2 linked regions of the Mytilus edulis genome follow. The protein of the gene in region 1 binds, or shares a complex with, the protein of each later gene. Links are inferred from orthologs where the notes say so. Each region holds a gene or a part of one and is shown in the gene's direction. Other genes may lie near its edges.

Region 1 (7,756 bases):
CGATCATAGTAAACGGGTGTCAAAACAGGAACGGACCGGACGGCGGTTGTTCTACCACCGCAGGCACGGGCGGCGGCGGCAGCTGTTCTACCACCGCAGACACGGGCGGCGGCGGCGGCGGGGCGGCGGGGCGGCGGCGGTATTGTTCAAAACTTTATAAGAAGGAGAGAACACGGGCTTCATCTAATCATGGACGAGTTTTATTTATTCGTCAATAGCGGAGACTCGCTCGATCTCTTTCCCGAGAATAGGGGAGGTCAGTTCTCAGTACGTTTACCTCGATCACACTTAACGAATGGAACGTGGGAGTGTGCCCTATTGGAAATGACGTTCGTGCCTACTTTCGAAATACCCACGCGCAGGGTCTACCTATGTTCCGACGTGGTGAGGGAAGAATCGTACGTCAGAGACACGTATTTACCACTACTTCAATCCGTAGCAGTGCGACGGGACGAGACGATGGAAGTCGTCTTCGAGAGACCACTCTACCGCACGACGAGAGGAGGCGAGGTGACACTATTGGAAATCACCGTCAGAGACGATAGATTACGAGTGTGCCGATTCAAGGACGATCACGTATTCTGCTTGCTGCATTTTAGAAAAAAGTTATAAGAGGATAGCGGATTCGATTTCGAAGTACATGTATAAACATGGAATGTCCTACCTGCCATAGACGGTTTTCCAGGAGAGATGTCATGTTGAGACATTATCGCAATCAGCATGGTAATGGGGATACGCCGCCGCCGCCGCCGCCCGTGTCTGCGGTGGTAGAACAGCCGCCGCCCGTGCCTGCGGTGGTAGAACAACCGCCGTCCGGTCCGTTCCTGTTTCGACACCCGTTTACTATGATCGTTTCGGGTCCGACGTCTTGCGGCAAGACGCATTTCGTGGCGAAAGTCCTCCGAGAAGCGGAAGCGATGTGCGAACCGGCACCGCAGAGAATCGTCTGGCTGTACAAGAGGTGGCAACCCCTCTACGACGTCGTACGAGACGGCGTGCACCCGCCGGTGGAGTTTGTGAGAGGCATCCCCGCCGACCTGGAGAGCGACGACTTCTTCGATCCGAGAGTGCGCAACATGGTGGTCCTGGACGATCTGATGACCCTCGCCAGCAAAGACACCCGCATCAACGATCTCTTCACCGAAGGAAGTCACCATCGAAATCTTTCCGTGATCGCCATCTACCAGAACCTGTATTTTGGAAAGGACCCCACACAGAGAAGAAACTGTCATTACATGGTCCTCTTTGACAATCCGATCGATCGACAGCCCGTGGCCACCCTGGCACGACAGATGTACCCGGGTCGATCCGAACATTTCCTGCGACAATTCGACGAGGCCACGAGAAGACGACACGGTTATCTCCTTGTCGACGTCAAACCGGAGACCCCCGAGACGGAGAGACTGCGCACGAACGTCCTGACGGGGGCGGGAGAGGAGGAGGAGACGACCCAAACGGAAGAAACGACCACGAACGATCTGATCGCCTGCGAAGAATGCGGACTGGTCTTTGTACACCGCCGCGGACTGGAGGAGCATGCGTGCAGCAGGGAGGAGGAGGAAAGGATCTCCAAGGCGAGGAGGCTCGACAGCAGCGAGGATACCTCCGAATACGACACGGACGAAGACATACTTCCCATGAGCGACGCAGAACTAGAAGAAGCGTTGGAAGGGTTACCGGTGGACGTACGTTGTGCCGAAGAGTTACCCGCAGACATCTCGCACCGACCGATGACCTATGTCGTCAACACGGATACCTGCGATGGACCGGGGAAGCATTGGGTGGCGTTTCACTTTCCATCCACGGGACCGGCAGAATTCTTCGATTCACTCGGACGTTCTCCGGAGTATTATCATCGCGCTTCAGGAACGTGCTCATCGCCAATGGACCTCAATACAGATTCAGTACGACTCAAGTGCAACCGGGATCATCCGATACGTGCGGACTCTATTGTGTACATTTCGTGAAGATGAGATATAGAAACATTAGCATGGAAGACATTGTGAAAGATTTTTCCCCTAGTGACTTGATGAGTAACGACGACAAACTGCTTGCATTGTACGAATGAATGTAGTAAATGTATATGAAACTGACATCTGCGTTGGTATTTTTTTTTCTATTTGCCCCGAACACGATACGATTAATCGGTGATTGACGTTCACACCTTGAAGAGTTGCCTCCCTTTTTTGTACCAGAGTTCTTCGATATGATCATGTGACCTTGCCTCGAACGTTGAATTGTCAATCCAAGAGAGAGAGATATATATACAGAGTTGCTTCCCTTGTTTTGTACCAGAGTTAACGTTCCTCGATACGATCACGTGACCTGTTGTCCATATATGGACATGTGTTTTATTTTGATGTTTGAGTGAAAATAAAGTTTTTACCAAATTTGGTCATAATTTCCATATATGGTCATAGGGTATCTGGTCGGTTTCCATATATGATCGTGTATTTTATTTTGATTTTTGAGTGAAAATAAGTTTTTTTACCAAATTTGGTCATGATTTCCATATATGGTCATAGGTTGTTTTGTCGATTTCCATATATGATCATGTATTTTATTTCGATTTTTGAGTGAAAATAAGTTTTTTTACCAAATTTGGTCATAATTTCCATATATGGTCATAGGGTATTGTGGTCGCTTTCCATATATGGGATTCATCATATGGTGGTCCAAGAGTCATAATCCGACATCAGGTGCTTCCGTTTTGATATATAGCCCGTATTATCATGTAGTGAGTCATGCCCTGATCTTGCATCCTGATGATTCATGGTCGCACCGCGTCATGACCAAATATGGACGGCGTGCATTCGGTATGACTCATCTTCCTTACTTACACTGACGTCATTAGGGCTAGTATATGCCCATATATCATATTGGGGGCGGGGCATGCGCATATGACGTCAGCGCCCTAGCGCCCTGTGTTTTGGGGGTGCCTAAAACTGAACCGTCCCTACTACTCACAGGACATAAAGTCACAAATTTGGTAGGACAAAAAGTCACAAATAATTTGTTGACAATTGTTTGAATATATAATAGAAATATCTTGAAATATTTACTTTTTAATACATATATTCAAATTAAAGTTTAGGAATTGTGTCATTATGCTTGAAAAATCAAGATTCATTTAATTTTAATCATGCAAATGATATATTTTTTGGCACCATGAAGCCATTTAAGTGCCAAGTCACTTTGACATTTTGTTTTTTTTTAACAATTATTTGATTATCTTTGATATATTTTTGATTAATTTTGTTTACAAAGTTGGTATATATATACAACAGTTCAAGAAAAATACAAAAATATTTTTGTAGAAATAAGCTTTTTTTCTTTAAAGAAAATAATCAGAAAAAATGAATTGTGACTTTTTGTCCGGTGACTTTTTGTCCGTGACTTTTTGTCTGTGACTTTCTGTCCTACATTCCGCCACAGTAATCCCTACGTGTGACTTCCGTTAACTAACGAAATTAAGTAGGAACACGGAGTTATAATTTCATTATACATGTAATATCTTCAATAGAATACTTCCATGCTCACACTAAGCAGAACATTCTTACAATGATGCCAAGGTTATATAATTTGTCTCTATATTTGCAAATTAGTACAGTTGCACATATCCCAATGACAGTAACATATATTTACCATACCTTATAATGTTATAATCACAAAAGCGCTTAGACTTATGCATGCACAGACTTTTTTGAAGAGATATCTGAATGCTAATCGTAAAAAAAACCTAGCCAACTTAAGATAATATAAAAAACAGCTATATCAAAACATTCAAAATCAGAACACTGTTATTTCAGTATTAATAGTTTTCCCTCCTCTTTGTTTTTTATAAAAAAAACACCATTTGAACTCCCAGGGGTGGATCCAGCCATTTTAAAAAGGGGGTGGGTTCCCAACCCATGATAAAGGGGGGTCCAACTATACGTCCCCATTCAAATGCATTGATCGTCCAAAAAAGGGGGGGTTCCAACCCCCAGGACCCCCCTCTGGATCCTCCACTGACTACCTTATAACACAATACTCAAAAGATGAAACCAAACAACATGCACAATTACAAGGATAAATATATCCAAATATTTTCAAGTATTCGCATAGAAAAAAATAAACCCTGCCCGCCGGTATAACGTTCTAGTGTAGTCTTCTATATATACGCCGTATGATTGGGTGAACCAAAAAAATGGAGTGGAGAAGGTTTGTAACGTAAATCAATAGGTTAAACTGTTTCAAAAGATCGTACGAAATTTTAAAGGATTGATATACCGGGGCGGACCCAGCAATTTTGAAAGGGAGTTCCCTTCTCAGGACAAGAAGAGGGGGGGGGGGGTATAGTTTCCATTGATCGTCAAAAAATTGGGTCACAACTCCCGGAATCCCCCTCCTGGATCTGTCACTGTATGGACAAGCGGTGTATAGAAGCAGAGACGTATGAGACATATAATACATGTATTAATTATATATGTCTCTGATTGAAGACTTTAGAAATTAGAATAAATTTAAAAGTATAATTTGTACAACTATATCCCGTATTCTGAGATGACTATATACTGTGTTACATGTATATATAGTAGTCTCAGTCCTATTCAAACATTTTTTAACAACTTTTTCCCTTTTTAACAAAATTACTCGTCTAATTATGTGTTCTTGTTTATCAACATAGAATTCCAGTCTATTTTCTTAAAATAAAGGGTTTTGTGATCAGGTGATCAAATCTTTCCTTTACTCGCAAATTTTACACTCTCCTTGAATGAAGGAAAATAAATTCAATTGAAAATGGCGGGGAAAACAAAAAAATGATTTTTCTGACAATTTTAACCAAATTTATCTGACTATGGCACTTTCAACGCAACAGCCTGAAAATGATGATAGATATGTACTTTTAGCTAAAATAGACAATGCGAGAAATGTATCGAACATTCTGAAAGCCATTCATTTTAAAGAGGTAAATGAGAGATCAAAGTTAACTGTGAAACACAAACAACACACAGTCACAGATAGTCACTTCGGCATGTGGTCAAATCCGTCGGTTTAAGCTCATTAGAGCTTATTTTATGTCCTATCAAATTTTCGACTTTCTGCCTGTGACTTTCTGTCTGTTTAGTAGTAGTGTTTACTTAATGAAAGTCCCTGGTGCTACATTGACTATACATGTAAATGTAGCCTTTTGTAGGTGCTGATTTGACCAGGTGTCGATTTGACTTTTCATTAGCCATTAGGTGCTGAATAAACGTATTTACACTTTGGGTACTCAGCTGTAAAATTTGTGCTCAATTGACCTTAGATCTACTCTGAATCAATGTAAAGAAGTAACATCAAACATTTAATCGGTACTATTCTCAGGGAAAATATACTACTTCATATTTTCTTTACACAACAAACTCATTGGAAAATAGTAAAATTTCCCCTCAAATCGGTTAAATGTGTGATGTAACTTCTTTATGTTGCTCTTAATCATGTTTAAAATTGACTGAGTACCAAGATGTCGAAAAATAATATAAACTGGAGTCAAAAGTCGGTAATATAAAAATAGTCTATTAACATTGAGAAATCCATCAGTTGTGTGGCCACTGAACATAAAGGAAGCTCAGAAATCTTTCCCATTTTTAAAAATAAAGTATAAAGAATATCATGAACATGATGAATATTGTTGGAATGTTAAAAAAAATTTTCTTTTTCTGAGACATTTATATACCTTTAATACCAATTTATACATGTTATAAGTTGAAAGTGTCTAGCAACTCATGTTAGTTGTTGATATGCTTACAGTCACACAGTGGCATTAAAAATGTTTTAATAAAAATTAATTTTAAATCTGTTCCTTTACATCAGTGATTATTGATAATTACAACAATACACATTACAGTGTACATGTAAATGTATATGGACCATAATTTGGTATTCGGCCTTTGGTTTCTTTTTGTATCCTTTTTTATAAGTTCTAAAACTTTAACTTTTATTCTGTGGGTTGTGTTGGTGTTAGAATAGTATTAATGGAACAATTGAGTTTTTCAAGAAAAAAATAATACATTTTGATTCACCGTTTACGTGACAGGAAACCAAACAGGAAACCAATCTTTATTTTCTTTATTTTGCACAATATATTTCAAAAGACATAAATGAACACCATTAATAGTGTTACTTGCTTCATGTTAATATTTGAAATCTATTTTCAATGTTAAATTAAAGTTTTTTTAAACGCGACAGGAACAATGAGGAAACCAAAAGAAACCGAAAGCATTTCTTTAGTTTTATTTTATTGCAAAATCTGCTTAAAATAATCTGAACAGTAAACTTTTTCTTAAAATCCATCTTAAATGTAACAGTATTATAAAACTCCTAAATATGTGCTTGTTTTGAAAACAATTAGTACAATTTATTCAGAAATTTCCATATTTTCTTCATTGATACAGGATACCATAATCGTTGTATCTTGATGTTTTAGCCAAAAAAATGTATTTATATTTGGTTTTGAAATTCCAGTTATATACAATTAATTCCAAATCATTGGCAATGTAAAATTCTTTAAATCCAGTAAAGAAAAAAACTCTAACTTGGAATTAAAATCTTTAAAATAGGCACCATGTGATATTTGTGACCTGTACACCATCTACATGGTTTCCACATTTTAACCTACTTTAGTGGGCTAAAATCAATAAAGTACTTCCTTTCAAGTCATGCATGGTAAAAGTTTACTTCTCCTTTGACAAGTTTATTGCGTTTCTGAAAAGTGTTTGCAGAACATGAATAAAAAAAAATAATTAAAAATTGTGACAAAGATACCAACTTTGTACATTCCAAGTGTAACGGTATATTAACATGTATTTTTTATTAAATTATCTTTATTCACCTAAAATATCCATTAATATTTACTGCTGAAACAAAATCAATCTAACGAGCATCGGCACAATGATAAGAGACGTAATGTCTATTGAATTTTCAAAGGACCCTTTACATCGTTATCAGGAAACAAAGTGTGTTATAATGTCTGTCAAATCTGAAATCGATTTTGTCAAGTCATTGGGCATTTATTTTCACACAATATCGTATGTAACATTATGCACATAGGAAAAATAATAGACCCCCGGCGCAATCTCTTTGAAAATTGTATTTTCCTTTTTTAAACAAGACGAAACAAGTCTACAGATTATGTTTGCTAACATCCCGTTGGAAACAAAAACAATGTTTAGACCTAGTATTTCATACATCCGGCCGTAAGGGCGTGATCACATGTAAGTCACATGTTTCACGTATGACCGGAAATGATTAGAACTTAACGACAAAAACAATTTTAATAAAAAAAGGAAATAACTGGACTTCTGTTTCGTTTGAAATGTAACGCATAACGATAACGACATTTTCTTACTTAATTATTACGAAGAACAAAACTAGAATGTAAATCATCTCTGATTTACCTGTTTGAACATCTCGCGAGAGTTCATATTTGGCTACATATCTGCTCTGTGCCCATTTTGCTGTGACAACCATTGAAAATTAAAAACTAAGCCAAAAACATCAGTATCAGTCATTTTTTAATAGCTATGGGTTGTATTTATTCAAAAAATATCATCCATGGATAAGATAATGTCTCATCATTAATTTCTGCATAGTTCAATAGGTCTTGCACGTTATTTAATGTAACATGGACAGACATGTTCTTATTCAAGGTTCCAAAGAGTTTTATTAATTTAAAGTGAGTAATTGTGAACTGTTATCATGTAAGAGCAATGTGTCATTCATAAAAAAAATC
Region 2 (7,288 bases), on another chromosome or scaffold:
TATCCAATATAGCTGAACTTACCGTAAAGAGGCCCATTGTGAATTTGACAGTAAAGTTCAGCCAATGAAAAAACTGTTACATAAGGATTGCATTAGAAAAAAAATGTCCATTAAAGTCTAATTGAACAGAAAACGTTCGATCTTACTGCATTCAAATTCAATATTGTTTAATATGACTATACACTCAATCTTATTTCCTTAAGTTCTTAGATTTACCTTTTTTTGGCACACTCGTGTGACCTGAGGCTAAATATACAATAGATTCCAATACACCTCTGTAACATGCAAGTAATTTATTTCTTTCCTTCATGTGACCCTACAAATATAAAAAAAGGAGTCTTAAGATTCCACTTCAAGAACAGCAAATCTCTACCATTTATCATAATCATACATTTGTAACTATTAAAAAAAAGTACAGTCTGCTCACCAAGTATTATATGTCTTGTATTCCAAATTAAATATAAGTTGCCATGAAAAATATCTATCGAACCAGTATGCAACTATAGCTAGTAACCATGACGTTTAATTTATCAGATCTACCATTTATCTGGGGTCACTTAGGATATACTCACAGCTCTGTCTGGAATCTTGACATATCTTACTTGTATATGATTGGTCACTAAGAACAAATAATTCATTTGGTTTACATATGACAGGGTTCTCACTAAGATTTTTTTAAGGCAATTCAAGGGACTTGTCAATTTTCCCTTGAAAAGTCCAACAGTAACATGAGGATATTGCTATATGACCTGATAGAGCAATTCAATGACATTCATTTCAGATTACTTTTAAACTTTTGCTATATAATGATGATATACATGTATGTGTACAGTTTAAACAAAATATTTCATTCTTGATGCATTTTTGGACTCACCAGTTTTGAAAATGGTGAGTCCAGACAGATTTTCATGAGTCGAGGACTCATGAACTTGCCTTAGTGAGAACCCTGAATTATGATTGTTCAATAAGAATATGTTACTGAAAATTCAGAAATTATTGAGGGGTTTGTATTATTGCAAAAAATGTGACATAGTTGTAAACGCAATAATTAAAACTTGCATTTTGAAATATTTTATATGAATTAAACAGGATTTTTCTCAATATCTTAAAAATTAAAATTGCATTTACCGGTAAGTATAAAATAATAAAATCACAATAATAAATGCACACAATAATTTCAGAATTTATAATACTTACATCTTCGCTAGCCAAGGGTTACGATCCACTCCCTTTCTCTTCACCCTTGGCGGATTGAGATAAAATTTCAGAGACACAAGGTAAGGATTTTTATTGGTTGCAGTGGAAAAAGCGCCTATAACATGATCACGTGTAAATGTAGATAGTGTTTGTAAACAATTGCCACGTGTTTATTGTGCAACAAGTCTTTACATTCTATAAACATACGACTATATTTAGTGACAACTTGAATGTTTTTAATCAATTTGTAGATTAAGTTCATGTGTATGTTTCATGCACAAATGAATGAATGTTGACGTATATTATTGTTTCTGGCTTTATCAAGTGAGTAGAATCTACACGCTACCGTGTTTTTACCTCCAAATTGAAGAGTTCAAGTGCTACCATTGGTCAAGAATAATGTATTCGGAATGGGAATGACTTTAATCATCCGATAGATGGCACAACATTGTTTTCACAAATGTTGGCTCAATCCGCCAAGGGTGAAGAGAAAGGGAGTGGATCGTAACCCTTGGCTAGCGTAGATGCAATACTTACAGCTCTGTCTGGAATCTTGGCATATCTTGCTTGTATACGCCTGGTCACTAAGAACATATTGCTGACAGCTTCAAGTAGCACCTCATCCTCAAACTTCTTTACTTCTGCACTAGGAAGATCTAGGCCTGCACACACTTGACTAAAAATGGTTAATTATGAAAAAGTGAATTATAAATTAAATTTAGAAAATTGCTTAAACATTATCTATTCCTTGATAAAAGTAAACTTCAGAACAGTAAATCTGACACCAATATTAGTACATATAACTACACTGAACAGCTAGCTCAATATGTGACAAGGGTAAATGTTGTTTTTTGTTTATATTTATTTATCATATATGTAATGAAATAAGCCTTAGTTACTATAAACTAAAGCATAATTTGTACGCATGTGACTCATATAAAAATAAGAAGATATGGTATGATTGCAAATGATAAAACACTCTACCCGAGACCAAATGACATATATATTTGATTAACAACTCTGGGACCAGATGATAGATTTTCCTGCTGCACTGAAGACTCATTGGTGGCCTTGGGCTGTTTTCTGCTCTTAGGTCAGGTTTTTACCTCTTCAACACTTTCCAAATTTCCATTTTCAATTTTATCAGAAAACAGTTGATGGAATTCATTACATAAAGTTAACAATGATTAATACCTGAGTATAGCAGCCAGTGAAGCGGCAATTTGCCATTCTCCATCCACAATGGAAAAGTCTTGTTTCAAAACTAAAACCAGGGCTTGCAACAGATTGTATTCCCATATTTCTTTCCTAATTCTCATACCATCTTTGCTTCCAGCTACAGCTGTGCTGAGGATTTCTAATAAAATAAAATTTGAAATATACACATATACATGATAAAATGTTAATTTTTAGCTAATTTTGTGTTCTACACTTTTGAGATGTTTGGCCACCTTTTAGGGGGAAAAACATATTTGTATGATGGACCAAAATGACAAGGCCAAAAGGACTTATTGCCAAAAAGGGGCCAAACGTTTCCAATGTGTAGAACACAAATTGTTCTATTTACATGTACATGTATACAATGATTGTTTATGGTGTAAGACAGTGTATAAGTATAAAATGAAATCATGGCTGAAACTACTTTTTTTATACTAGTCCGAGATTACTCTGACGTCCAACGGCTGTTTTGCCAGACAAGCTGGGGCCGTGGGACGTCAGAGCTCGTCCCATATCAAAAAGTGGATATTTGCCCACCAAAAATAGATGCGCTGCTTCGTCGCTTCTGATGCCGACTGACGGCCTTGGAATTATATAAATCGGACATCAATCTGTTCATTTTTCATTTATCTCTTCATTTATGTAAGTTTCACCTACCTGCCAACCTTTATTTTTCCATATTTTAACAGTTTTCACAGTGACCCATCGATTTCGGCATTTTGACTTTCACTTTCAAATGGACGTCAAGTTATGAGAGAGTTCGTGGTCTCGAGACTCAAAATATGCAAATATCGATGTTTAACATTAGTAGCCAACCACGATTTTTCACCTCCTTTACAGGAGATCGGTATGACGCATTTAGTTCCGACCATGTTACAATCGGAAGCTCTCGGATATTTAGATAACTTGCATCGTAATTGAAGAGGTGTTACATTAATTATGGTCATTTGCATAAATCATCACTGTTTTCTCGTGGTCACGTGATTATCTTTGAACATGAGAGGCAAAATGCCGAAATCGATGGGTCACTGTGAAAACTGTTAAAATATGGAAAAATAAAGGTTGGCAGGTAGGTGAAACTTACATAAATGAAGAGATAAATGAAAAATGAACAGATTGATGTCCGATTTATATAATTCCAAGGCCGTCAGTCGGCATCAGAAGCGACGAAGCAGCGCATCTATTTTGAGTGGGCAAATATCCACTTTTTGATATGGGACCAGCTCTGACGTCCCACGGCCCCAGCTTGTCTGGCAAAACAGCCGTTGGACATCAGAGTAATCTCGGACTATTTTTACATATGCCAGAATTGGTACATGGCTGAAACGTTTAAACTGGAATCGACCAATTGTGAACTGGGTCCATGGTGGAAATGTCTTGTTTCCATATACACAAGTACAGATATGGACACTGAGACAGATCATAAGCAGATACATGTAAGTACAAAAAAAAATGAAGTAAGGATAGTCTTTTTATATTCTTATTTCCCAGTCAATAACATTAATATTTATCTTCATTTCGAGGAAGATTATGATAATGATTTTTTTTTTATATCTATATGTAGGTTTAAATCTTTGTGTAATATATTTGAGCATGACTGGTCTTGTTCAAATCAAAATTGAATGACTATAATAACCTTTCAGCCTCAGAAGCAAAATTGGGATACGTCTGTCTCGTGTCTCTGCTACCTCAGATGCTAAATTGATAACACGTTTATCTCTGGTAGGACTCGGCTGTCTTGACATTTTAAAAATATAAGTTGAAACTTGCCACACAAAATTTTGTTTACATGGTCATTTTGGCGCTTGCGACTGAATCAGCATTACGTTTAAAATCTAGCTGTCTAAAATAAAAACAAACTCGGTAAGCATCAAAACGAAAGTAAGAATGGCGGGAAATATGTCACAGTTCTAGTTAAACATAGCAAAATGAAGTTTAGAGGGAAAATCGTTGATATAGGATGTATTCACCATTTCACGAGCAAGTCCATTTGCATATTTTTTTATTCAATCAAGATTTAAATAACATATCCTATATATGGCACCAAATGTGCAGCTGAATCACAGGCACTTGTTTCTATCAATGGGAAGACAACTCGTAAATAAATAGTGGGTCTTCCCTAGTCTTAAAATCTTGAAAGGCTATTATAATTTTTTCTTTGACGCCTTACTCAAGACGTCATAATTATTTGGACTAGGTCTTCCCATGGATAGAAACTAGTGCCTGTGAGCTGAATATAGGTATATTGTTTTGTTATCATCGTGTCATATGTATAAGTACATCATATGTTTTTATGCGTCATATATGGTTTGGTATTATTCATATTTCATCAGTTTCAATTTCACAGGATTGATTACTACTAATACCATTGAATACCAAAAAGCATTAATTTCCCTGGGACTCTTAACAATCACCTCTGTAACTGTTTATTCCTCGCCTAATATGAGGCAGGCATTACCTATATGAAGTCTGTATGAATTATTTTTTTTTTTATTACTTCAAAATCTGTTAAAAAGAAATGGAAATACCGTAACGTTTCCGATTTTGGTTCTGTTGTTAGGGATTTTACTTGTGACGTTATTTAAGTTATGACGTCACGTTTAATGTAAACAACGAAACGTGATCATCAGTTAACGTTTATTCATATCAAAGACATTGGTATTGTGTTCCTTGAGTTCCTATATTTTACTAGACTACTCAAAGTCACATGACAACAAGACTGGAAGAAGGAAGTAGATTTCTGCGTTCTGCGCAAATGGGGGAATTAAAAAAAGTGACAAAAAAAATTAAAGATTTTAAGTTCATGAGTACATTTGTAGTATAGTAAAAATTTCGCGAGATTTTCCCTTTTTTTTCTTTTTTTTTTTTATTGATTATTCTACTGTTATAGGGGACTTCGTCCGATTATAAGTGTAACAAGACCACGCCTATACTGAATGACCTAAAGAAGTACTTCCTGAGCTCAACCACTTACGCTGACTTGAGTTTCAACCTCATTTACCAAGGGAATCAATCCCGTCACAAAAATAATACATTTTGACGTGTTTTCTGTTTCTATATTTGGGACATTAACAACACTACAATATGTACAACTTGACAAATGTCAAACCAGGAACATATATTTTGACGGGACTTGACACTACCGAATGATAGCAAATTTTATTGTCAAGTCATGGTAAATAAATTACACAATATGGAAATGGACATTTGTAAAATACGCAATCACTATTATCTTAATAATTTCTAATAATATCAATAAATGTCATTCAATGATCCATGAGAGAACAACATCTATATAGTGTAAAGAAAAGTTAAGGATACTGCTATTATAAACTTCTTTCTTTCTGTGTTAGAAGTTTCTGTTTGAAGTCAGCATTATATGAACATGATGAATAAAATTACAATTCAGCGTGAAGAGGTGCACAGTTGGTTCCCATGGGACTGCAGGTTGTTTGTTAAAATACACATTGTTTGGAAATTCTATGAAACCTTTTGTGTAAATGCAGTTTATTCACAATTTCTTAGAAGCATACATGTAGATGTGATTATTATTTATTATCATCATGATCATTATTTTAGTATGAAACATTTTAATTTTCAGGAGTAATAGGAACTCTCTCAAAACTAATTAAAAGTTGTGTCTTGAGAATAACCCCTGGTAACTGGTATTTTATACTTGCTGAAAAGTTGGCTAATGGAGGAATCCAGATCTGGTGTGAACTACCTCAGGTAAAATTTCTACCAGTATATTTAGGTGGTGAAAAGCTATTTTTTTCTGAACATTAAATGAAGTGCAATTACAAAATGTATTTTCAAACTATTTCAAAATAAGTTCAGACCAGATTAAACATCATAAAATGTAGTAAAAGCATATTCTATCATAACATTGAGTATTCCATTAAAGGTTTACATACATTGTGCTTCCTTCAAGTAGGTTTTACAGTATAAATGGCAGACACTTCTGTAAACATAATAAAATGGCAAAATTAAACAAAATCTGTACTGTTTTAAACTCTCATGCTATAAAAAAAAAAATGTGGAGCACAACTGTATTTAAAGAGTTATTCCAAGAGAAGAGGTATTGTTGGTTCAGATAATTATGACATTGACACTAAAATTTGAGCTTTTGCTCAATGCTCTTTTATCCAACATATTCCTAACATACATTGACATAAGTCTACATTTTGCTAAAATCTGCAAAAATTGAAAATGATGTAAGTTTTTTTTTTGTCAAGTCCAAGCTCTTTATACATGTCATATTTGCATTTCCGAGACCCTTTTGAGCATGTTAAGTTTAAAAATTATAGTGATATTGATATGAATGCAAACTGTTGTTGGGTAAACATTACATTAATTAGACAGTACAGTGGCTTCATCATTGTATTACAATTCAATTTAGTTTGTTTAAGTTGATACAATATAAGTCAAGTAAAATATCAAGTTTTATATAAGAAGTTAAGCGGATGTGGCATGACTGCTAATGAGACAACCATCAAGTGACCAACTATGGTTCACCTTATTGCCTTCAACAATGAGCAAAGCCAATTCTGAATGGTAATTGTTTTTTTATTGAAACTCTATTTTAAGGGTCGAAATGTACTATGTCTTTTAAAAATGTATTACCTAATATTGTTGCCAGTGTCCTTACAAATAATTACTTATTTATTTATTTATTTCCTCAGGGTCATTTCTTTGATGAATATGCAATGGAAGGAGTTTCTAAGGAGGCTAATGAGATTTACTTAGAGGTTGCTCCAGATAATATTGTTAAAGCTCTAAAAACAGCTAGCAATGCCAAGTGGATCAAGATTAAATTGACAAAAAAACATGTCCCTTGTCTTACTTTTGAAATTGATCAGGTAGGTGGACAAAA

What was found. The genes of interacting proteins can lie anywhere in the genome.
Region 2: the proteins of cell cycle checkpoint protein RAD1-like (region 1) and checkpoint protein HUS1-like are in contact, whole or in part, in a crystal structure (PDB 8GNN), measured with the Homo sapiens proteins. The link is inferred for Mytilus edulis from reciprocal best matches to the Homo sapiens genes RAD1 and HUS1. Residues at the interface, in NP_002844.1 of Homo sapiens: Asn85, Val88, Asp91, Cys92, Ser94, Ile95, Phe96, Gly97, Ser98, Gly127, Val128, Val129, Thr130, Val131, Cys132, Lys133, Ile134, Asn135, Gln137; in NP_004498.1 of Homo sapiens: Thr165, Ser168, Val169, Lys172, Met173, Asn175, Ile176, Glu197, Leu198, Val199, Cys200, Val201, Thr202, Thr203, His204, Phe205, Lys206.

The regions. Positions count from the first base shown.
Region 1 is NC_092349.1:72,359,982-72,367,737, forward strand, and holds the start of cell cycle checkpoint protein RAD1-like, read left to right. Parts: upstream 1-4,756; 5' UTR 4,757-4,840; coding exon 4,841-4,951; intron 4,952-7,756. UniProt on the Homo sapiens protein: Component of the 9-1-1 cell-cycle checkpoint response complex that plays a major role in DNA repair. The 9-1-1 complex is recruited to DNA lesion upon damage by the RAD17-replication factor C (RFC) clamp loader complex.
Region 2 is NC_092345.1:33,788,550-33,795,837, forward strand, and holds the start of checkpoint protein HUS1-like, read left to right. Parts: upstream 1-4,282; 5' UTR 4,283-4,343; coding exon 4,344-4,395; intron 4,396-6,016; coding exon 6,017-6,144; intron 6,145-7,097; coding exon 7,098-7,274; intron 7,275-7,288. Other genes in the region: IQ calmodulin-binding motif-containing protein 1-like, read right to left, coding at 217-316, 1,735-1,873, 2,392-2,554, 4,052-4,160. UniProt on the Homo sapiens protein: Component of the 9-1-1 cell-cycle checkpoint response complex that plays a major role in DNA repair. The 9-1-1 complex is recruited to DNA lesion upon damage by the RAD17-replication factor C (RFC) clamp loader complex.